Arabidopsis thaliana: one gene and its partners. The protein of the gene in region 3 purifies or fractionates together with the protein of the main gene of each other region. This does not show direct contact. Each region holds a gene or a part of one and is shown on either strand. Other genes may lie near its edges.

Region 1 (7,227 bases), on a different chromosome or scaffold from region 3:
AGCCCAGTCCAATAGAAGTTGAGAAAGCATAGCCCCTACTTTTTTATTGTTTCCAAAACGACCCCAAACTTTTAAAAGTGAGCGTAATTAGGAATTATGTCAGTTTTTCCTTGAAACGTGCTCCAACTTTCGGTTAGAGATGGATGATTTTATGATAGAAGATGATGTATTTGGATCTTTCCTCTTCTACTCGCGTCTAGTATTTTCTTGTCTAATGATGTTAGCGATATCTAGTTACGCGAATGTGTATGTGATCGTCCCTTGGTACCTTGAGGCAAGTGATTTAAGATTATTAAATTTTGCTTAAAAATTATTGCTTGGTTTTCTTGAGAATAGAAAAGGCTGTAAGAATCAAATGTTATGGGTTTGGTTGTGAAGCAATTGGTTTCTTTGGCTTGTAGATTTTGAATATGGTCCATATTAATACATGCGTTTCATTACAACTTACTTGCTAACATAACCCGTATTATATAGCTACTAGCAAATTAAAGTCTAGCTTTGACAATTGAATAGTTCACTTCAAATGCATATGAAAGAAAAGAATAGAGATCAAATCTGAAATGACGAGTTCTAAAATGGAGCAAACCAAATGTAGCTTTGAAATCTACAATATCATAAAGTTCACGGTTTAAAGTCCTCAACAAACGACATTATAGAAGAAAAAGCATTACAAATAAAACAAAATCGTCTAGTACAGTAAAAAACACACTGCCATATGAGATGAAGAAATCCATCGGTACCATACCAGAAAATATACCGGTTAAGTAAGAACGATAGCCAATTACTCTTTTTACATATACCCTTGAACGCCTCCTCCCTCCATATAATAAGCAGATTCAACCAACGATAATTGCTCAAGAGAAACGTACGTAGTCTAAACCTGTTACCTTTGCACGCCACTGTGAGAAATCATCGGTATGGTACTGAAATTTAGACCAATTGCGGTTTAAGGATTAAAACATGTATTAATCGAGAAATAGAATATGTTTTGAAAAGATTAGCTAACCTCAGCTACTACCCTTTTGTTTGAGGGTGATTTTGTCCCCAAGACTTAGGGCAATCCCTTGCGTCTTGCTCCTTATCCTTATGTAACCACTCAATGCTCCATCCGTTTGCTTCTCAATACTCACATTCACAAGAGCATCCTCACCAAATACACTTTTTGCGTATAAGTTTGCTGCAAGGAATCCACATTCGCCTTCTATTGCGGATCTGCAAGTAAAGAAGTATTAATTAGTAAGAAGAGTTTTTCGTTTCTACAGGATGAAAGAAGAATTTACACTTACGGAGCAGTGAGACATTTCATGTTTGTAGATTTGATAATGTGGTCGAGGAATTCTCTTTCGTTTTGTATTGTGGTGTTCACAGCAACCTGACATAAAGAATACAACAGGAATTGGTTATACCAAACTCCAACAAACATACGAAAAGAAGGTACAACTATAAAAGGTTTCAATAAATTACCTTGTTTTCCCATTCGAACTCTGCCCACATAGTTCTGAAAGCAACCTCTGAACACACAGCAGGGGAGATATAGTCCATGATATCAATGTGTATGTCATTAAGAACAACGACGTTTCGCTCCATTACATTTGATGTCTCATAGACGATGTTCCCGAATATGACTCCCGTCTCTGTGGACGACACCTTGATGTTTGCTTTAATCTGCATGCTTCTTTCAGGTGCCAGACTGTAGTTCTGAGGACGCTCAACAAGTTTGAGATCACCCATGGTTGCTAACTCCAAGCACAAGTTCTGAAGGGTTTCCTTGGTTCGGTTGATTACTGTAACTTCAAGAGCAATATCATAATGGTGTACCGTCACATATGCTTCAGCATAGACTGGGTCACTGAATCCTGTGAGTTGAAGAATGCGGTTAAGTTTGTTAGCATCGTTCTCGTCCTTGGTGAATTCTCCAGTTGCACGCTTTAGGTCATCTTGTACTTGGTCTTCCAACTCAAGTTGACTCATTCCCTGAAAGAAACTTATCGTCAGTAATTTCAACTACTGACCGAAATAAATAAACATAACATGCCACTATCAACTTTCGAACTTTCTTTGAGAATGCGAAAAAAAAAATTGGATATGAACTGTAAGAAAAAGTAGACACCAACGTAACAGAACTGAACAGATTGAAAAGGAAAACTCATATGGAAAAAAAAACCCAATAAAGCAAAGGGAAGCTTAGGAAGTAATAATACCTTCCGACTCTTTAGATGGAAGAAGTCAATTAGATCATCAGGTTGAGCATGCGTTGTTTGGGTCTTCGCCTTCAGTTCCTCCATCTCTCTAAGCTGTTTTTCAGAAATCATCTTGACAAAACTCTGGCGGCAGGATTCTAACCATATCTTTTTCATCTCATCATTCCTATGGCAAAGCAATTTTATGCACAACACAATCCTCTCATACGAATCATTATCAATAGGGTGTGGAGAAACAGGAGATTGCCCAAGTTGCAACATAGAAACCATGATCAACAAAGCCTGTGTGACTGTCTTATTTACTTCAGTTTTAGAAGACTGAACCTCTTCTAACCTAAGAACAAGTTTGGTCAACGTGCAAGCAACCACTGCTCCGAGGAAAAAATCACCAGTTAGTAGCAGTGCTCTCAAATTTCCAGAAGTCAGTGATCCTTGAACAACTGTAGGTGAGGAGAATGTGGTTTCAGAGGCTGCGCTTTGGGTAGCATAAGTTCCATCAGCAAGAATCACTGGCTTTCTAGAGGACACCATGGCAGAAGAGGTAGGCTGAATCTTCTTTGATGTCTCAGTTGGCTCAGACTCCTCAGAAACAGAGTAAAATGGTAATTCGCCAAGGCATTGCGTGATAGTTGAAATGCCACTCTCAACTTCCGAAAGTGATAGGCAATACTCCCCAATTATCCAAAGGGCACAAGGGCAGACCTTTCCTGCTCGGATCTGATAGAACGTGTCCAATAACCTTGTGATGATTGAAACTCTTAACTTGGGATTTGTTTCTATTATCTCTCTAACAAAAACAACCACGTCAAGAGCTGAAGCCACATTGCTATCTCCCAAGAAGTCCATCAGAAGGTGGACCACTGTGCTTGCAACTTCGGGGAACTTCACTGCACAAGCGTGGATGGCTTGAATAAGCATTTGTCTGTACTCCCCATTCTTCTCAAGTTCTCCACTCTGTGTCTTCACAACTTCTTTCTTCAACATTTGAACGACCTCATTGATATTATGATGGGTAATCAAGTCAAGGGAAATGTCAAGCGTCTTCCTGCGGATATCAAGGTTTGGGCTTGAGAGTGCTCTGAGCACATCTATTATCAACTCAACCATGATATCTCTGTGCAATGTCTTAAGCTCATACAACCGATCGAGTAAAATAAGCTTCACATTGTTGTCACTCTGAGAAAGAAGAAGTTGGCAGTAGGTGTTGGCAGCAGCCCGAATCGCAGTAGGGGCAGATGAGAGAGAAACAAGTGTCCCAGCACATTCATAGATAACTGCAGAAGAAGTAGCACTTAACAGAGAAATAATAATCTTAATATATTTCCCCTTCTCTGCTGGTTTAGTCTTACACACACTTCGAATCAACTCCAGCACCACCATCTGAAGTGATTCATTCCAGTCTGAAACCTTGTCAACATTGCTCAGAAGATAATTCACTGCACGTTCTTCAGCACAGGTAAAGAGCATTAGAAATGCATTTCTCTTGGCAGAAGGATCTTGTTCGGTTGATAGAACTTTCTCGATCATTTCAGGCGCATCCACAAAGAGTTGGTCGCCTTGTGGAAGCTTATATATCGACATGATGGCCAGAATGGCATTCCTGCGAACAAATGGATGGCGATGCTCCAGATTTTGTAACACTGATGGAGTTAAAGGCTCCACAATTTCAGTCTCCTTCATCCGGCAGAGAAACCTCAGTGTCACTCCACGGATGTACTCATTAGGATGCTGAAGGTTATTACGAAGATTCTGGCATATCAAAATCATTTCAGGTAACACCTTCCCCTTAGAATCAGTCTTTTCAATCAGCTCCAGGTACAGCAACAGAAGCTTTTGGATTGTGTGGTCCTCAGAAGGTAGCACATATCTTATAATGGTTATGAAAAGCTGAGGAATGGTTTCACCATTCAGCAAAAGCATAATTGCCTTCTTCATGGCATCAACTTTAGCTTCAACATCATTTCCTTCGAGAGCTTCTTTAATCTCATTAGCAACTGCTGGAGTCCCTTTGTCATAGTGAACAAGCATGGTACTAGATTTGTCCATCTTCTCCGGTGCTGCACAAAAAGTGAAAGAGAAAAAAATCTGTGAGCTCAAATGAAAAGGAAAAACCATTCACGAACAAGTGTTCCTTTGTTAATATAAGAAATAGAAGATGAATAGAGCAAAATTGTTACAATTGATTAAAGACATAATGAAGTATAGATCACAAGTAAAAACAAGATATCAAAACTTTTAATATTTCTGGCGATTTCAAGTTCGAATTACTGAATATAAGCACCTTACTAGTGTCCTCATCAGTGCTAGAGTAAGTTCTATACAAGAAGTTCAACAGTATCATCGGCGATAATCCATACCTCTCTGCTTGGATTTCAATACATTGAATACATGATCTCTATTCTCGAATCCGTGGTTTATGAGAAAACATCATAATTTCAGAAGAATATTCGGTAATGTCCAATCAGAGACCCAAAGATGCAAAACATTGACAAATCTAAATCCTCAGATCCAGCAATACACATCACTGTACTACAACTACGACCAAAATAATAACATAAAAACGAAAAATCAGTTAAAACAGCTTCGGATCAACCAAAATTCAAAAAAAAAAAAAATGCGATCTATCTCCCCAGATTAGATGAACAAACAATGAAATCTACATAATTCGCAGTCTCACTCAGCTGCACAAACATGAAAATCGGTTTCCTACCGGAATCAGATCAATATTCAACGAGATCAAACAAAGAGCGCCAGAGAATAATTGAACATTGTAGATTTTCACAAAGGAAAAGGCAAAAGTGGGATCGATCTCTATGAAATCTGAGTCGCAAGTTTAACACAGAGAGACAAACCTCAAAGGTACGAGATCCAGGGAGAGAGGAGGAGGAGATCCACAGTAACACAGCTTTGGATCCAAGAGAAGATTTTGGATCTCGGAAAACAAAACACTCGCACCAAGGAAGTGAGAGATCAAATGTGCTTAATATTATGGTGGTGGATTCGTCAGGTGAATTAACTCCTCCAAATCCTTTTGGGTTTGATTTTGGAAAACGAAGAACGGAAAAAAGCGAGTCAACCTCAAAAGCCCAAATATTGATTAACGACAAGCCCAGTCCAACAGAACTTGAGAAAAATATAGCCCCTATTGTTTTAATTGTTTCCAAAACGACCCCACACGTTATAAAATAAACTGAATACTGAAAGCATAGGACACTTTGGGTCAGAGTTTATAACCTAGCTAACAAACGGTGGTCAACTAAATTGATTTTTTTCGTCTATTTGATGTTCTATATAATATAAATTTAGTTAATCAACGGTAAGCTCAATGACTATAAGCCTCACAATACAAATTGATCTCCAAGGAATGTATAAGATTTCTTGAAAACAAGGCATCCAAATTTGTATCACGTTCTCTAGCACACCATCTGATACGCCTCATAAATCTGCATAGTAAACATGTTATAACTAAACAAGTATTTTAAGAGTGGTCAAATTAAATATCTAACTTAGGTTTTCATTTGAATGAGTTTGTATATAATGTTTTATGCTTGGGATATATTCTCGTTGCTATGATAAAGTCTCTTCTTACAAGAAAAAAAGAAAACATCCTATTAAAACTTCCTTCATATATAATGATCTATTAATTAGCTCAATAATGTATGCTTTGTTTGAATAAAATCATTCCCTACAAATAATCAATGTTCCACCGAAATGATTAGCACTTGTCATTGCGCATTATTAACATAGCATGTGTTTAGATTCGTTAGATGATATATACGTACAAATATGAAAGCATAAACAATTATGTGTGTGTGTGTATATATATATGGTAAGGATCGTACTAGCTAGATCTAGAGGCTCAGAAACAAATCTAACTTAGCATCCCAATGGAACAAAAAACTCTGATATTCATCATCATTATCATAGTTATCAGCACTCCACTTCCTTCTCTCTCTTTTCAAATCCCATCAAACAGAACACCGACAACATCAACACTAATTTTTTCTCAAGACAAAGCTCTAGCCCGCAACACCATTCAGCAGCAGTTTCTCCGACCACACAACATCTTACGAGCCAAGCTTCGTCTCCCTCCTCTCAAATGGAGCAATAGCCTCGCCCTCTATGCGAGCCGGTGGGCCAGAACCCGCCGTGGAGATTGCAAACTTATCCACTCCGGGGGACCTTACGGGGAGAATCTCTTCTGGGGAAGCGGAAAAGGTTGGACTCCACGGGATGCGGTGGCTGCATGGGCCTCGGAGATGAAATACTATGACCGGAGGACTTCCCACTGCAAGGCGAATGGGGATTGTTTGCATTACACGCAACTTGTATGGAAGAAGAGTTCGAGGATTGGGTGTGCAATCAGTTTTTGCAAGACCGGTGACACATTTATTATTTGTAACTATGATCCTCCTGGTAACATTGTTGGACAACCACCCTTTTGAATATTGTCTACACTTTATCTTTACCTTTATTTTCCTCAACTATGTACACTTTATCTTTGTTAATGTGAAATCTTGTTTTGATTCTTGTATGTTAGATAACGAAAATGATGAATTACGTTTTCTCTTGTCTGGATGTCATATATGCTAAACCTTTCGGGTAAGGTTTCATTTGTTATATAAGGCACCAATAAAACACATGATTTTTAGTGTTGCAATTTGTGTTTTGATATATCTTTGTTGCCGTAAAAAAAACAATGTTTGGCCGGTTTGATTGTGTTTCGGTTGAGTTGGGAGGACCGAGGTTCTTAAATTTCAATTCATGTTGACTTGGTTTGGTCTATGTTTTTTTTTTCTTTGGGATAATGGTTTGGTCTATGTTAGATGTTATTGACTTTTTATCCGGATTGACAAATTAGAACCGATTAAAACCGAACCGTAAATTAATGAGAGAATTAATTTGGGCCTAAGAGCCAACGAATTAAAAAAGCCCAACGCTTCAAAACTCAGAAATTGAACCCTATGGCTAAGATCGACGCCGGTTCTCATCGCCGGCCGAAACCTCGACTCGTGCCATCGTCAGT
Region 2 (6,875 bases), on a different chromosome or scaffold from region 3:
CTCGCTATGCACAAGAAAGAACACCTCGTTCTTGCACCAACGAAACACATCTGATGCTATATATATCATTAGGACGTTTCTGCTGGTAGATATGGCGTGACCAATGGTTATTTTTCATTGCAATATCCCTTTTTGTTTTAATGAGTACTATGTTCTCATTTTAACGAATAAAAATGTATCAGTGCTCTTGTTTTTGGACTAGAAAAGAAAGTAGTCCGATGTTTAATATTCGGGTCCCTTTAATATTCCCTCTGGTTTACAATATTTTAAGCTATCTTAGTAAACATCTATAATGTGAATATATGACTAGAAAACAAAAACATGTCGCTAACAAACAATAATATGAATTTATGACGAAGAAACCAACATGTTGCTAAAAACAATAATATGAATACATGAGGAAGTTTCGTTGACAATGATAAGTAGTGGAAGACTTGACTTTGGATAGCATCTTGCCAATATGTTGTCCTACGTCACATACGAAAGAAAAGTAGGAAAAGAAAAACTTTTGTTCTGCGAAAAGAGAGAACCACGAAAGGCAAGAAAAAAAAAAACAGAAGTAGAGATCGTATATGAAATGACGAGTCTAAAATGGAACAAACCCATGTAACTTTGAAATCTACTATTGATAACGCGTTCAACAGTTCAGTCTCCTCGATAAACAAGATTATAGAAGAAAAAGTATTACAAATAAAACAAAATCGTCTAGTACTGTAAAAAGACAGCCGGTTGAGGAAGAATCCATCGGTACCATACCGGAAAATATACCGGCTTAGGAAGAATAATAACAAATTACTCTTTACATATCCTTTAAACGACTCTTCTCTCCATGTAGTAAACAGAATCAACCAACGAAAAATTGCTCAAGAGAGAAACGTAGCCTAAACCTTTTACCTTTTACCTTGCACGCTATCATTCCAAGCCTGTGAGAAATCATCGTTATGGTAATGAAAATTAGACCAATTAAAAGTTTAAGGATTCAAACATTTATGGATTGCATTGAGAGATAGAAAATGTTTCCAAAAGATTAGCTAACCTCAGCTACCACCCTTTTGTTTGAGGGTGATTTTGTCTCCAAGACTTAGAGCAATCCCTTGCGTCTTGCTCCTTATCCTTATGTAACCACTCAATGTTCCATCCGTTTGCTTCTCAATACTCAAATTCACAAGAGCATCCTCACCAAACACACTTTTTGCATATAAGTTTGCTGCAAGGAATCCACATTCACCTGCTATTGCAGATCTGCAAGTAAAGAAGTATTAATTAGTAAGACGAGTTTTTCGTTTCTACAGGATGAAAGAAGAATTTACACTTACGGAGCAGTGAGACATTTCATGTTTGTGGATTTGATAATGTGGTCGAGGAATTCTCTTTCGTTTTGAATTGTGGTGTTCACAGCAACCTGACATGAATAATACAACAGGCAATGGTTATACCAAAATCTAACAAACAAACAAACAAAGAAGGTAATACTTTTAAAAGGTTTCGGTAAATTACCTTGTTTTCCCATTCAAACTCTGCCCACATAGTTCTGAAAGCAACCTCTGAGCACACAGCAGGGGAGATATAGTCCATGATATCAATGTGTATGTCGTTAAGAACCACAACATTGCGCTCCATTACATTTGATGTCTCATAGACGATGTTCCCGAATATGACTCCTGTCTCTGTGGACGAGACCTTGATGTTTGCTTTAATCTGCATGCTTCTTTCAGGTGCCAGACTATAGTTCTGAGGACGCTCAACAAGTTTGAGATCACCCATGGTTGCTAACTCCAAGCACAAGTTCTGAAGGGTTTCCTTGGTTCGGTTGATTACTGTAACTTCAAGAGCAATATCATAATGGTGTACCGTTACATATGCTTCAGCATAGACTGGGTCACTGAATCCTGTGAGTTGAAGAATGCGGTTAAGTTTGTTAGCATCGTTCTCGTCCTTGGTGAATTCTCCAGTTGCACGCTTTAGGTCATCTTGTACCTGGTCTTCCAACTCAAGTTGACTCATTCCCTGAAAGAAATTTATCATCAGTAAGCTCATCTACAGACCAAAAGAAATAAACATAACATGCCATTATATACTTTTGCCATCTTTCTTTAAAAATGGAGAAAAAATCGGATATGAACTGTAAGAGAAAGCAGATAAAAACTAAACAGAGTGCGAAGGAAAATCATAAGGAAAAGAACACACAATAAAGCGAGGGAAAGCTTAGAAAATAATAATATTACCTTCCGACTCTTTAGATGGAAGAAGTCAATTAGATCATCCGGTTGAGCATGAGTTGTTTGGGTCTTTGCCTTCAGTTCCTCCATCTCTCTAAGCTGTTTTTCAGAAATCATCTTGACAAAACTCTGGCGGCAGGATTCCAACCATATCTTTTTCATCTCAACATTCCTATGGCAAAGCAATTTTATGCACAACATAATCCGCTCATACGAATCATTATCAATAGGGTGTGGAGAAACAGGAGATTGCCCAAGTTGCAAAATAGAAACCATGATTAGCAAAGCCTGTGATACTGTCTTGTTTACTTCAGTTTTGGAAGACTGAACCTCTTCCAACCTAAGAACAAGTTTGGTCAACGTGCAAGCAACCACAGCTCCGAGGAAAAAATCACCAGTTAGAAGGAGTGCCCTCAAATTTCCAGAAGTCAGTGATCCTTGAACAACTGTAGGCGAGGAGAATGTGGTTTCAGAGGCTGCGCTTTGTGTAGCATAAGTTCCATCAGCAAGAATAACTGGCTTTCTAGAGGACACCATGGCAGAAGAGGTAGGCTGAATCTTCTTTGATGTCTCAGTTGGCTCAGACTCCTCAGAAACAGAGTAAAATGGTAATTCGCCAAGGCATTGTGTAATAGTTGAAATGCCACTCTCAACTTCTGAAAGTGATAGGCAATACTCACCAATGATCCAAAGTGCACAAGGGCAGACCTTTCCTGCACGGATCTGATAGAACGTGTCCAACAACCTGGTGATGATTGAAACTCTCAACTTGGGATTTGTTTCTATTATCTCTCTAACGAAAACAACCACGTCAAGAGCTGAAGCCACGTTGCTATCTCCCAGGAAATCCATCAGAAGATGGACCACTGTGCTTGCAACTTCGGGGAACTTAACTGCACAAGCATGGATGGCTTGAATAAGCATTTGCCTGTACTCTCCATTCTTCTCAAGTTCTCCACTCTGTGTCTTCACAACTTCTTTCTTCAACATTTGAACGACTTCATTAATATTATGATGGGTAATCAAGTCAAGGGCAATGTCAAGTGTCTTCCTGCGGATATCAAGGTTTGGGCTTGAGAGTGCTCTGAGCACATCGATTATCAGCTCAACCATGATATCTCTGTGCAATGTCTTAAGCTCATACAACCGATCGAGCAAGATAAGCTTCACATTGTTGTCACTCTGAGAAAGAAGAAGTTGGCAGTAGGTGTTGGCAGCAGCTCGAATAGCAGTAGGGGCAGATGAGAGAGAAACAAGTGTCCCAGCACATTCATAGATAACTGCAGAAGAAGTAGCACTTAACAGAGAAATAATAATTTTAATATATTTTCCCTTCTCCGCTGGTTTAGTCTTACACACACTTCGAATCAGCTCCAGCACCACCATCTGAAGTGATTCATTCCAGTCTGAAACCTTGTCAACATTGCTCAGAAGATAATTCACTGCACGTTCTTCGGCACAGGTAAAGAGCATTAGAAATGCATTTCTCTTGGCAGAAGGATCTTGTTCTGTTGATAGAACTTTCTCGATCATTTCAGGTGCATCCACGAAGAGTTGGTCGCCATGTGGAAGTTTATATATCGACATGATTGCCAGAATTGCATTCCTGCGAACAAATGGATGGCGATGCTCCAGATTTTGTAACACTGATGGAGTCAAAGGTTCCACTATTTCAGTCTCCTTCATCCGACAGAGAAACCTCAGTGTCACTCCACGGATGTACTCATTCGGATGCTGAAGGTTATTACGAAGATTCTGGCATATCAAAATCATTTCAGGCAACACCTTCCCCTTCGAATCTGTCTTTTCAATCAGCTCCAGGTACAGCAACAGAAGCTTTTGGATGGTGTGGTCTTCAGAAGGCAGCACATATCTTATAATGGTAATGAAAAGCTGAGGAATGGTTTCACCATTCAGCAAAAGCATAATTGCCTTCTTCATGGCATCAACTTTAGCTTCAACATCATTTCCTTCGAGAGCTTCTTTAATCTCATTAGCAACTGCTGGAGTCCCTTTGTCATAGTGAACAAGCATGGTACTAGATTTGTCCATCTTTTCAGGTGCTGCACAAAGAGTGAAAAATAAAATAAAATTGTGAGCTCATATGAAAAGGAAAAATCATGCAAGAACAAGTGTACCTATGTTAACATAAGAAATTCAAAGCGAATAGAGAATAGGAACCTAAAATACTGAAAATCGATTTAAAGATAAAATGAAGTAGTATAGATCACAGGTAACAATCAATATATCCAAAATTTTAAGAATTTTCTTTTAATTACTAAGTTAGTATAAGCACCTTACTAGTATCTTCATCACTGCTCGAGTAAGTTCTAAACAAGAAGTTTCAGAGTATCCCCATAATACTACTCAGCAATAATAATCTACACCTCTCTACATATATTTCAGTACAATGAAGAAAGCATCTATGTTCTCAAATCCACGGTATATGAGAAAGCATCATAATCGCTGAAGAATATTCGGTAATGTCTAATCAACGACCCAAAGATGCAAGACATTGACAAATTCAAATCCTCAGATCCAGCAATACACATCACTTTTACTACAACTACGACCAAAACATTAACATAAAATCGAATAATAAAAAAGCTTCGGATCAACCAAAGTTCATATCACAAATGCAATATATCTCCCCAGATTTGATGAACAAACAATGGAATCTACATAGTTCGCAGTCTCACTCAGCTGCACAAACATGAAAATCGTTTGCCTACCGGGATCGGATCAATATTCAACGAGATCAAGCAAAGAACGCCAGAGAATATTGAACATTGTAGATTTTCACAAAGGAAAAGCAAAAGTGGGATCGATCTCTACGAAATCTGAGTCGCAAGTTTAACAGATAGAGACGAACCTCAAGGTAGGAGATCCACGGAGTAACAAAGCTTTGGATCCGTTAGAAGATTTTGGATCTCGGAAAAAAAAACACTCGCACAAAGTGAGAGATTATGAAATGTCCTTAATATTATCGTGGATTCGTCTTCCCTTGTGTTTACTCCTCCAAATCCGATTTTGTTTTTTAGTTTTTTTTCCTTCTGTTTGGAAAACGAAGAACGGAAAGAAGCGAGTCAACCTCGCAGGCCCAAATATTGATTGTTGACAAGCCCAGTCCAATAGAAGTTGAGAAAGCATAGCCCCTACTTTTTTATTGTTTCCAAAACGACCCCAAACTTTTAAAAGTGAGCGTAATTAGGAATTATGTCAGTTTTTCCTTGAAACGTGCTCCAACTTTCGGTTAGAGATGGATGATTTTATGATAGAAGATGATGTATTTGGATCTTTCCTCTTCTACTCGCGTCTAGTATTTTCTTGTCTAATGATGTTAGCGATATCTAGTTACGCGAATGTGTATGTGATCGTCCCTTGGTACCTTGAGGCAAGTGATTTAAGATTATTAAATTTTGCTTAAAAATTATTGCTTGGTTTTCTTGAGAATAGAAAAGGCTGTAAGAATCAAATGTTATGGGTTTGGTTGTGAAGCAATTGGTTTCTTTGGCTTGTAGATTTTGAATATGGTCCATATTAATACATGCGTTTCATTACAACTTACTTGCTAACATAACCCGTATTATATAGCTACTAGCAAATTAAAGTCTAGCTTTGACAATTGAATAGTTCACTTCAAATGCATATGAAAGAAAAGAATAGAGATCAAATCTGAAATGACGAGTTCTAAAATGGAGCAAACCAAATGTAGCTTTGAAATCTACAATATCATAAAGTTCACGGTTTAAAGTCCTCAACAAACGACATTATAGAAGAAAAAGCATTACAAATAAAACAAAATCGTCTAGTACAGTAAAAAACACACTGCCATATGAGATGAAGAAATCCATCGGTACCATACCAGAAAATATACCGGTTAAGTAAGAACGATAGCCAATTACTCTTTTTACATATACCCTTGAACGCCTCCTCCCTCCATATAATAAGCAGATTCAACCAACGATAATTGCTCAAGAGAAACGTACGTAGTCTAAACCTGTTACCTTTGCACGCCACTGTGAGAAATCATCGGTATGGTACTGAAATTTAGACCAATTGCGGTTTAAGGATTAAAACATGTATTAATCGAGAAATAGAATATGTTTTGAAAAGATTAGCTAACCTCAGCTACTACCCTTTTGTTTGAGGGTGATTTTGTCCCCAAGACTTAGGGCAATCCCTTGCGTCTTGCTCCTTATCCTTATGTAACCACTCAATGCTCCATCCGTTTGCTTCTCAATACTCACATTCACAAGAGCATCCTCACCAAATACACTTTTTGCGTATAAGTTTGCTGCAAGGAATCCACATTCGCCTTCTATTGCGGATCTGCAAGTAAAGAAGTATTAATTAGTAAGAAGAGTTTTTCGTTTCTACAGGATGAAAGAAGAATTTACACTTACGGAGCAGTGAGACATTTCATGTTTGTAGATTTGATAATGTGGTCGAGGAATTCTCTTTCGTTTTGTATTGTGGTGTTCACAGCAACCTGACATAAAGAATACAACAGGAATTGGTTATACCAAACTCCAACAAACATACGAAAAGAAGGTACAACTATAAAAGGTTTCAATAAATTACCTTGTTTTCCCATTCGAACTCTGCCCACATAGTTCTGAAAGCAACCTCTGAACACACAGCAGGGGAGATATA
Region 3 (7,646 bases):
AAAATACAATAAAAAAGAGTAAAAGAGAGGGGCATTCCGAGAATTGAACTCGGGACCTCTCGCACCCTAAGCGAGAATCATACCACTAGACCAAATGCCCAATTTGCAACATTCAATCCCAAATCAATCATTAACTCTTACATCTATTAGTCTCCACCACCATGAGTGAAAGGATTGAAACCACTTCCAAACAATTTCTCAAGTGGCCAAAACAAAGGCTTTGGTAGATTCTCCCAATCATACCAATCCCATCCTTCACACTTCTCTGGTTCCATATTCTTCGGTTCTTGACTTGGATCCACCAACACCGCACGTATCGAAACAGAGACGTAGTGTGATGGCGTTGGTGCTTCTTTGAAGACATTGTTTGTAACAGTCAAAAGCTTCATCTTTTCAATCTTTAGACCTGTTTCCTCCATTACTTCTCTCGCTGCACATTCTTCAAAGCTCTCTCCTGATCAAAGAACAAAGATTAGATCAAATCAAGATTTGGGTGATATAAAGAGAGAAGAGAGAGAGGAGAGAGACCGAATTCGAGGTGGCCACCGGGAAGAGCGAAAGTGGAGTTGCCGATTGAGGAACGGCGGCGACCTAATAAGATTGAGTTTCCGTTGAGAATGAAAACGACGACGGCGACTCTTGGTATCGCTTCTCCTGTCGACATTATTATCGAACACAGTGAAACCCTTTCTTGTCGTGTTTTAGTTTTGTTGACTTAATTTGAGTTTAAAACGATGTCGTATCGGTTATGCGTTTATATACGTGTTGGCAAATGTGTCGCCGTGTCGGTGTGATTGGCTGTACACAATTATCGCTGTTTCTTTTTCCATTGCACTTGTTTTCATTTTATTTATTAAAAAATTTAGATGATATTATATAATATATGTTCTTTATGATGTTGCCATAACGAGAACGATTATGTAAAAAATAACATATACATATACTTTTCTGTTTATAAATGATTATTTTTTTAGAAAAAATTTATTTCTAAAATATTGATTTTTTTAAGTTTTTTATGCAATATTTATTGGTTAGTATTGATGAATTGTAATTAAAAAAAAAAAATTAATTATCATTGTTTTTTGAGTTATAGAAAACTGTAAAACATAAAAAATAATGTATTTATAATCAACATTTATTATGTTTTCTTAAAAAATAGAAGGAGTAGTCATTTGTTAGATAGTAAGACTTAGCCAAATTATATGTCATTTACTGTACTTTAGTTTTTTTTTCCGATCATAAGAATGTATGTTAAAATAACAATCACCAAAGAGGCACAAAATAAATTGTAGGTCCAAAGATAAAACAGAGTTAGTTAAAACCAGTTACTCCTTTCGTAGAATTTTTACCCAAAAAAAGAAAAAAAAAAATCGTAGAATTTCCTTCTCTTTTCTTCTTAATTATAATATATCAACTGTTTGTTTTGTTGTTTAGTTTGGAAAGGAAGAAAATTAGCTTAAGAAATAAGAATATATTTTTTTGGGGAAAGATGACTAGCACCACAAATTTAACTACGCCATAATTTACTGCGTTGACCACCATAATTAGTAATTAAGCACCATAGCTAACAAACCATATATAATCACTCTTCAAAATATTTAACTTTGATCACTGCAATTATTCATTCCTTCACCTTGTTCATTGATACAATGACGGACACAACAGACGATATCGCAGAGGAAATCTCATTCCAAAGCTTCGAAGATGACTGCAAATTGCTCGGTAGTCTCTTCCATGATGTGTTACAAAGGGAAGTTGGCAACCCATTCATGGAAAAAGTCGAACGCATTCGGATTCTTGCTCAGGTTTCATCTTCTGTCTATTCGCTTCCATATGCTTAGATCATTTGATAAGAATCTCACATCGTAGTAATAAGAGATATAGTCATATAGATCAATCAACTTATCGAAACAAATATGAATGATACGACTTATTTTTGTGTGGTTTTTAAATGTTTCAGAGTGCGTTAAATTTGCGTATGGCTGGTATTGAGGATACCGCAAACCTTTTGGAGAAGCAATTGACTAGTGAAATATCCAAAATGCCACTAGAAGAAGCCTTAACGTTGGCTCGTACATTCACTCATTCTCTTAACTTAATGGGCATTGCAGACACTCATCACAGGTCATGATTTTTGTAATCACATTACAACAAAAATATTACAAGTAATAAACATGAATAGATAATTCTAAACTTAAACATTGTGGATTCTAATAATAAACATTTTTATTCCAGAATGCACAAAGTCCATAACGTTACACAACTTGCAAGATCTTGTGATGATATATTCAGCCAGCTATTGCAAAGTGGAATCTCTCCAGACGAACTTTATAAAACTGTTTGCAAACAGGTCTAGCTACTTCATATTGTATCATTTTAGAAACATTTCAATTCGTTTTATCTAACACAAAGGTCGTATCTGAGTGTTGTTTTCTCTATTTGATATTTGTTTGTTTATCGCGCTTTAGGAGGTCGAAATTGTTCTTACTGCTCATCCTACCCAAATAAATCGAAGAACCTTGCAGTACAAGCATATTAGAATTGCTGTAAGTTAGTTCTAATGATGTTAACATATATGGATTATATCTCTTAATTTTACTTGAGAGAGTTAAAAGTATATGGTTCTTGCAGCATCTTCTAGAATATAACACTAGATCAGATCTAAGCGTTGAAGATCGCGAAACGCTCATTGAAGATTTGGTACACTCCATCTCAATATCTTCCATATAAATTTTATCAGCAGAGTAACTTATAAACTAAGAGTTACTTATACTTAAAGGTTAGAGAGATTACTTCACTGTGGCAAACTGATGAGCTTAGACGTCAGAAACCTACTCCAGTTGATGAAGCTAGAGCTGGTATTTTAAATATAATTGTAAAGTACAGAAAAGTTTCACTCTAAAAAACTATTTCTCTTTCTTTTTCATTCATTTAGGTCTAAACATAGTGGAGCAATCCCTTTGGAAAGCAGTACCACAATACCTGCGTCGTGTCAGCAATTCCTTGAAGAAGGTATTATTTTACCTTTAGGTATCTAGAATATATGAATAATCGTTATACTTTATCTTAAGATAATATTGATATTTTGTATTTTCTTGGTTAGTTTACAGGGAAGCCACTTCCACTAACATGCACTCCTATGAAATTTGGTTCTTGGATGGGAGGTGATAGAGATGGAAATCCAAATGTCACGGCAAAGGTTAGTCTTTTGATATTTTACGATTTGAACTCAAAACCAACCGGTAATGAAAATTAGTCCATGGTCGTTATTATATTACTCTAGGTCACATCTCACTTGTAATATGAGATTCTTAACATTTACTTTTTGATGAAGAAGATCTTTTAAAACTGCAATCAGAAAATTTGATTGTCACATATTCTCTTGATATATAACACACACTTGAATGTTGTGATATCATTTGTCCAGGTCACGAAAGAAGTATCTCTCTTGTCTAGATGGATGGCTATTGATTTGTACATAAGAGAGGTTGATAGCTTAAGATTTGAATTATCTACGGATCGATGCAGTGATAGGTTTTCAAGATTAGCTGATAAAATTCTTGAAAAGGGTAAATATATGCTTCAATTTCTATTAAATCTTTACTTGTTCATTTACATAAAAATTTTTTGTTCTGAATAAAGTTGATGTTTTTTCCCCTTAAAATTCTGAAAAAGATTATGATAGAGGAAAATCAAATTTCCAAAAGCAACAAAGTTCATCATGCTTGCCAACACAACTTCCAGCTAGAGCTCACCTTCCTGCTTGCATTGGTAAAAAGATTTCTTAATCTCTTGCATTTGGTAAATATCTCAAAACCATGCATGTTTTATATCACATCCCATTGCAGACTTTGGTGAATCACGACATACCAAATTTGAAATTGCGACGACAGATTATATGCCACCCAATCTCCAGGTAACACAAAGCCTTTAAATGTGCTGACATATAGATGAAACATATTTTACAGAAATTTCTCCATCCTCTTTTGATTAATTTTTCTTTTAATCTTTGTTTATATAGAAGCAGAATGAACAAGACTTTTCGGAAAGCGACTGGGAGAAAATTGACAATGGTTCGCGGTCCGGTCTTACTTCTCGAGGTTCTTTCTCATCTACTTCTCAACTTCTTCTCCAGAGAAAACTATTTGAGGAATCTCAGGTTGGGAAGACTAGTTTCCAAAAGCTACTAGAACCACCTCCACTTAAACGAGCTGGAAGTGCTCCTTATCGTATTGTTCTTGGAGAAGTAAAAGAAAAGGTAAAGATCATAAGCTTTTCAATCAAAGATAATATAAAGATTCAGATTTAGCATGTCAAAACCAACAGATTTTCAAATTTAATGATTTATGATCATAGCTTGTGAAGACAAGAAGACTTCTTGAACTTCTTATTGAGGGTCTTCCTTGTGAGTATGACCCTAAAAACTCCTATGAAACATCAGATCAGCTTCTTGAACCATTGCTCCTCTGTTACGAATCTCTGGTTAGCAATCTTGATTCCATGTGAAACTTGTGTTACCACAATAATCCATAATCATAAAATTTAACATCATTCGTTTTTGCAGCAATCATCGGGTGCTAGGGTACTAGCTGATGGACGACTTGCTGATCTGATTCGTAGAGTTTCTACCTTTGGAATGGTTTTGGTGAAACTCGACTTACGCCAGGTGATTTTAGTTTGTTTTCTTAAATCTTCATGCTTTGGTCCTCTAATTCAATAATATGTGTGATTCAATTACTAGGAAGCTGCAAGACATTCTGAAGCTTTGGATGCAATTACAACATACTTGGATATGGGTACTTATAGTGAATGGGATGAAGAGAAGAAATTAGAATTTTTGACAAGAGAACTAAAAGGGAAACGACCTCTTGTTCCTCAATGTATTAAGGTCATAATGAAATATCTATTGCGTAAACTACAAGAAAGAGCAATGTTATGTTATGAAAGTTGTTAAATTTTATTTATTTATCTGTATTTTATTTATGTAGGTTGGTCCTGACGTCAAAGAAGTATTGGACACATTCCGAGTCGCTGCTGAACTTGGAAGTGAATCACTTGGCGCTTACGTTATTTCTATGGCTTCAAATGTATAATTTTCTTATGCATGACGACTTTAAACATTTTCATTAAAACAAAACAATGACATAGATTTGTTTGTTACTTGCAGGCAAGTGATGTCCTCGCTGTGGAACTTCTTCAAAAAGATGCTCGACTTGCTTTAACTAGCGAACATGGAAAACCATGTCCTGGTGGAACGTGAGTTCAAATCTCCACCAAGATATTACATTGTTTATAGCAATCACTTTATAAGTACATACATGAGTAACATTTTTAGTAGTCTTAAGATCTCTTACTACTATCTATTTATTTGAATAGGCTACGAGTGGTACCTCTTTTTGAAACGGTGAATGATTTAAGAGCCGCTGGTCCTTCGATAAGGAAATTGCTCTCAATCGATTGGTATAGGGAACACATCCAAAAGAACCACAACGGTCACCAAGAGGTACGTTACACGTGAATTTAAACATGTTAATTTTGAAGGGAGGTTCTAAGAACTTGTAACAATGTTACTTGTAGGTGATGGTTGGATACTCTGATTCTGGAAAAGATGCTGGACGTTTTACTGCAGCATGGGAACTCTACAAAGCTCAAGAAAATGTTGTTGCTGCTTGTAATGAATTTGGAATCAAAATAACATTATTTCATGGACGAGGAGGAAGCATTGGTCGTGGTGGTGGTCCAACCTATCTCGCTATTCAGTCCCAACCACCAGGCTCTGTAATGGTCAGTTTCCAAACTATTATTTATTGATCATTTAAAAACATATTTAATGATTGTATTATTTGTTTTGTTACTAATGTCAATACGGGGTTAAAAATATATATATATATATATATATATATATATATATATATATATACATTTTTGGTGCCATGGCACTAGACCAATGAGCTATTACGCTAAAATGATTGAACTGGTTTGACCAGGGCTCTTTGCGTTCAACTGAGCAAGGTGAGATGGTTCAAGCTAAGTTTGGGATACCACAAACGGCTGTTAGGCAACTAGAGGTATACACAACCGCGGTTCTACTCGCTACCTTAAAGCCTCCTCAGCCACCTCGAGAGGAAAAATGGCGAAACCTAATGGAAGAAATCTCTGGAATCAGTTGCCAACACTATAGAAGCACAGTGTATGAAAACCCAGAGTTTCTATCTTATTTTCATGAGGCAACACCGCAAGCAGAACTTGGTTTCCTCAATATAGGAAGCCGACCAACACGAAGAAAGAGCTCTAGTGGAATAGGACATCTCCGAGCTATCCCTTGGGTCTTTGCTTGGACTCAAACAAGGTTTGTTCTTCCAGCTTGGCTTGGTGTAGGGGCTGGTTTAAAGGGAGTTTCTGAGAAGGGTCATGCGGATGATCTTAAAGAGATGTACAAAGAATGGCCATTTTTTCAGTCCACCCTTGAACTTATAGAGATGGTGTTAGCTAAAGCAGACATTCCAATGACCAAACACTACGACGAACAACTTGTGTCTGAGAAAAGAAGAGGACTTGGCACTGAGCTAAGAAAAGAACTAATGACTACTGAGAAGTACGTTCTTGTGATAAGTGGTCACGAGAAACTCTTGCAGGACAATAAGAGCTTGAAGAAACTCATTGATAGTAGACTTCCGTATCTCAACGCAATGAACATGTTACAAGTTGAAATTCTTAAGAGGCTAAGACGTGATGAAGATAACAATAAGCTAAGAGATGCTTTGCTTATCACAATCAATGGTATTGCTGCAGGAATGAGAAATACCGGTTAATACACTACCACAACACTTGCTTACGTGATTTAAAAGATACTATTACTTTTGCTGTTTTCTTGTTGGACAAGTATTGATGTCATTCTTTAGTACTAGTACTGGACCTCTAATCTGACATTGTGTTGCTGTTTGAGCTTGCACTTGTTGAACAACACGGCGTTCTTACAAATGAGAACGGCAAATAGTTTATAACTTCTCACTTGGCCAAGTCAAAAGTAAGAATATTTGTCTATCTTTTGGCACAAATGATTTTTTTAGGCTCCAATTATTAAATAATGGGTAAATTACAACCAAAGGAATTTTTTTTTGCAATTTCCATACATCCACATATTTTTATAATATAGATATCTAAATCACATCCTGTAACCATAAACATAAGGTACCTTTTCATGTTTAAAACACCAACTTGTGGTCCAAGGTTAATGGATCAAAATTTGTGTTTAAAGTAACTTTTAGTCTTCTATTATTTCTAGTTTCAATTGCTTTTTACTATTTGCTTTCTAAAAATACTATATGGTAGCCTTTTACATGTCTGAATTTAAAAGTTTTCATGACCCAAAGCATATTCCTTAAGAATATTATTTGATCGTGGGGTACATCGTTTTTTGTTTGTTTGTTAAGTGTTGTGCATCTTATGATTTTACAAAAGTTTATTTTCTCATACAAGTTTCCTAAAGACGTTTATTAGTCAACTGTCAAAAATAACCATATCAAAGACCTTATGTAATAAATCAAACTGCAAAATTGTTAATACCTACAACAGGCAGATCCAAGATATATCTTCATGTTAAGAATGAAACAATCTAATTTACTGATGTCCAATAGTACATCGTC

Evidence for each region. Proteins that work in one complex are often made in the same cells at the same time.
Region 1: the proteins of PPC4 (region 3) and AT4G31480 fractionate together in Arabidopsis thaliana (co-fractionation; one large-scale study listed by BioGRID). This does not show direct contact.
Region 2: the proteins of PPC4 (region 3) and AT4G31490 fractionate together in Arabidopsis thaliana (co-fractionation; one large-scale study listed by BioGRID). This does not show direct contact.

What each region holds. Positions count from the first base shown.
Region 1 is NC_003075.7:15,261,165-15,268,391, reverse strand, and holds AT4G31480 (Coatomer, beta subunit), read right to left. Parts: upstream 5,239-7,227; 5' UTR 4,317-5,238; coding exon 2,202-4,316; intron 1,975-2,201; coding exon 1,465-1,974; intron 1,373-1,464; coding exon 1,287-1,372; intron 1,213-1,286; coding exon 1,008-1,212; 3' UTR 1,007-1,007; intron 924-1,006; 3' UTR 501-923; downstream 1-500. Other genes in the region: AT4G31470 (CAP (Cysteine-rich secretory proteins, Antigen 5, and Pathogenesis-related 1 protein) superfamily protein), read left to right, coding at 6,089-6,646. UniProt on the Arabidopsis thaliana protein: The coatomer is a cytosolic protein complex that binds to dilysine motifs and reversibly associates with Golgi non-clathrin-coated vesicles, which further mediate biosynthetic protein transport from the ER, via the Golgi up to the trans Golgi network.
Region 2 is NC_003075.7:15,266,856-15,273,730, reverse strand, and holds AT4G31490 (Coatomer, beta subunit), read right to left. Parts: upstream 5,286-6,875; 5' UTR 5,092-5,285; exon of another isoform or gene 4,516-5,091; intron 4,283-4,515; 5' UTR 4,272-4,282; coding exon 2,226-4,271; intron 2,008-2,225; coding exon 1,498-2,007; intron 1,403-1,497; coding exon 1,317-1,402; intron 1,243-1,316; coding exon 1,038-1,242; 3' UTR 1,037-1,037; intron 924-1,036; 3' UTR 501-923; downstream 1-500. Other genes in the region: CYP83B1 (cytochrome P450, family 83, subfamily B, polypeptide 1), read left to right, coding at 1-54; AT4G31480 (Coatomer, beta subunit), read right to left, coding at 6,347-6,551, 6,626-6,711, 6,804-6,875. UniProt on the Arabidopsis thaliana protein: The coatomer is a cytosolic protein complex that binds to dilysine motifs and reversibly associates with Golgi non-clathrin-coated vesicles, which further mediate biosynthetic protein transport from the ER, via the Golgi up to the trans Golgi network.
Region 3 is NC_003070.9:25,822,108-25,829,753, reverse strand, and holds PPC4 (phosphoenolpyruvate carboxylase 4), read left to right. Parts: upstream 1-1,606; 5' UTR 1,607-1,649; coding exon 1,650-1,805; intron 1,806-1,960; coding exon 1,961-2,124; intron 2,125-2,235; coding exon 2,236-2,350; intron 2,351-2,468; coding exon 2,469-2,546; intron 2,547-2,631; coding exon 2,632-2,700; intron 2,701-2,779; coding exon 2,780-2,858; intron 2,859-2,935; coding exon 2,936-3,012; intron 3,013-3,103; coding exon 3,104-3,199; intron 3,200-3,427; coding exon 3,428-3,569; intron 3,570-3,675; coding exon 3,676-3,771; intron 3,772-3,848; coding exon 3,849-3,916; intron 3,917-4,021; coding exon 4,022-4,258; intron 4,259-4,356; coding exon 4,357-4,482; intron 4,483-4,564; coding exon 4,565-4,666; intron 4,667-4,741; coding exon 4,742-4,888; intron 4,889-4,988; coding exon 4,989-5,087; intron 5,088-5,167; coding exon 5,168-5,256; intron 5,257-5,376; coding exon 5,377-5,503; intron 5,504-5,577; coding exon 5,578-5,784; intron 5,785-5,987; and 3 more. Other genes in the region: NUDX1 (nudix hydrolase 1), read right to left, coding at 147-454, 529-664. UniProt on the Arabidopsis thaliana protein: Through the carboxylation of phosphoenolpyruvate (PEP) it forms oxaloacetate, a four-carbon dicarboxylic acid source for the tricarboxylic acid cycle.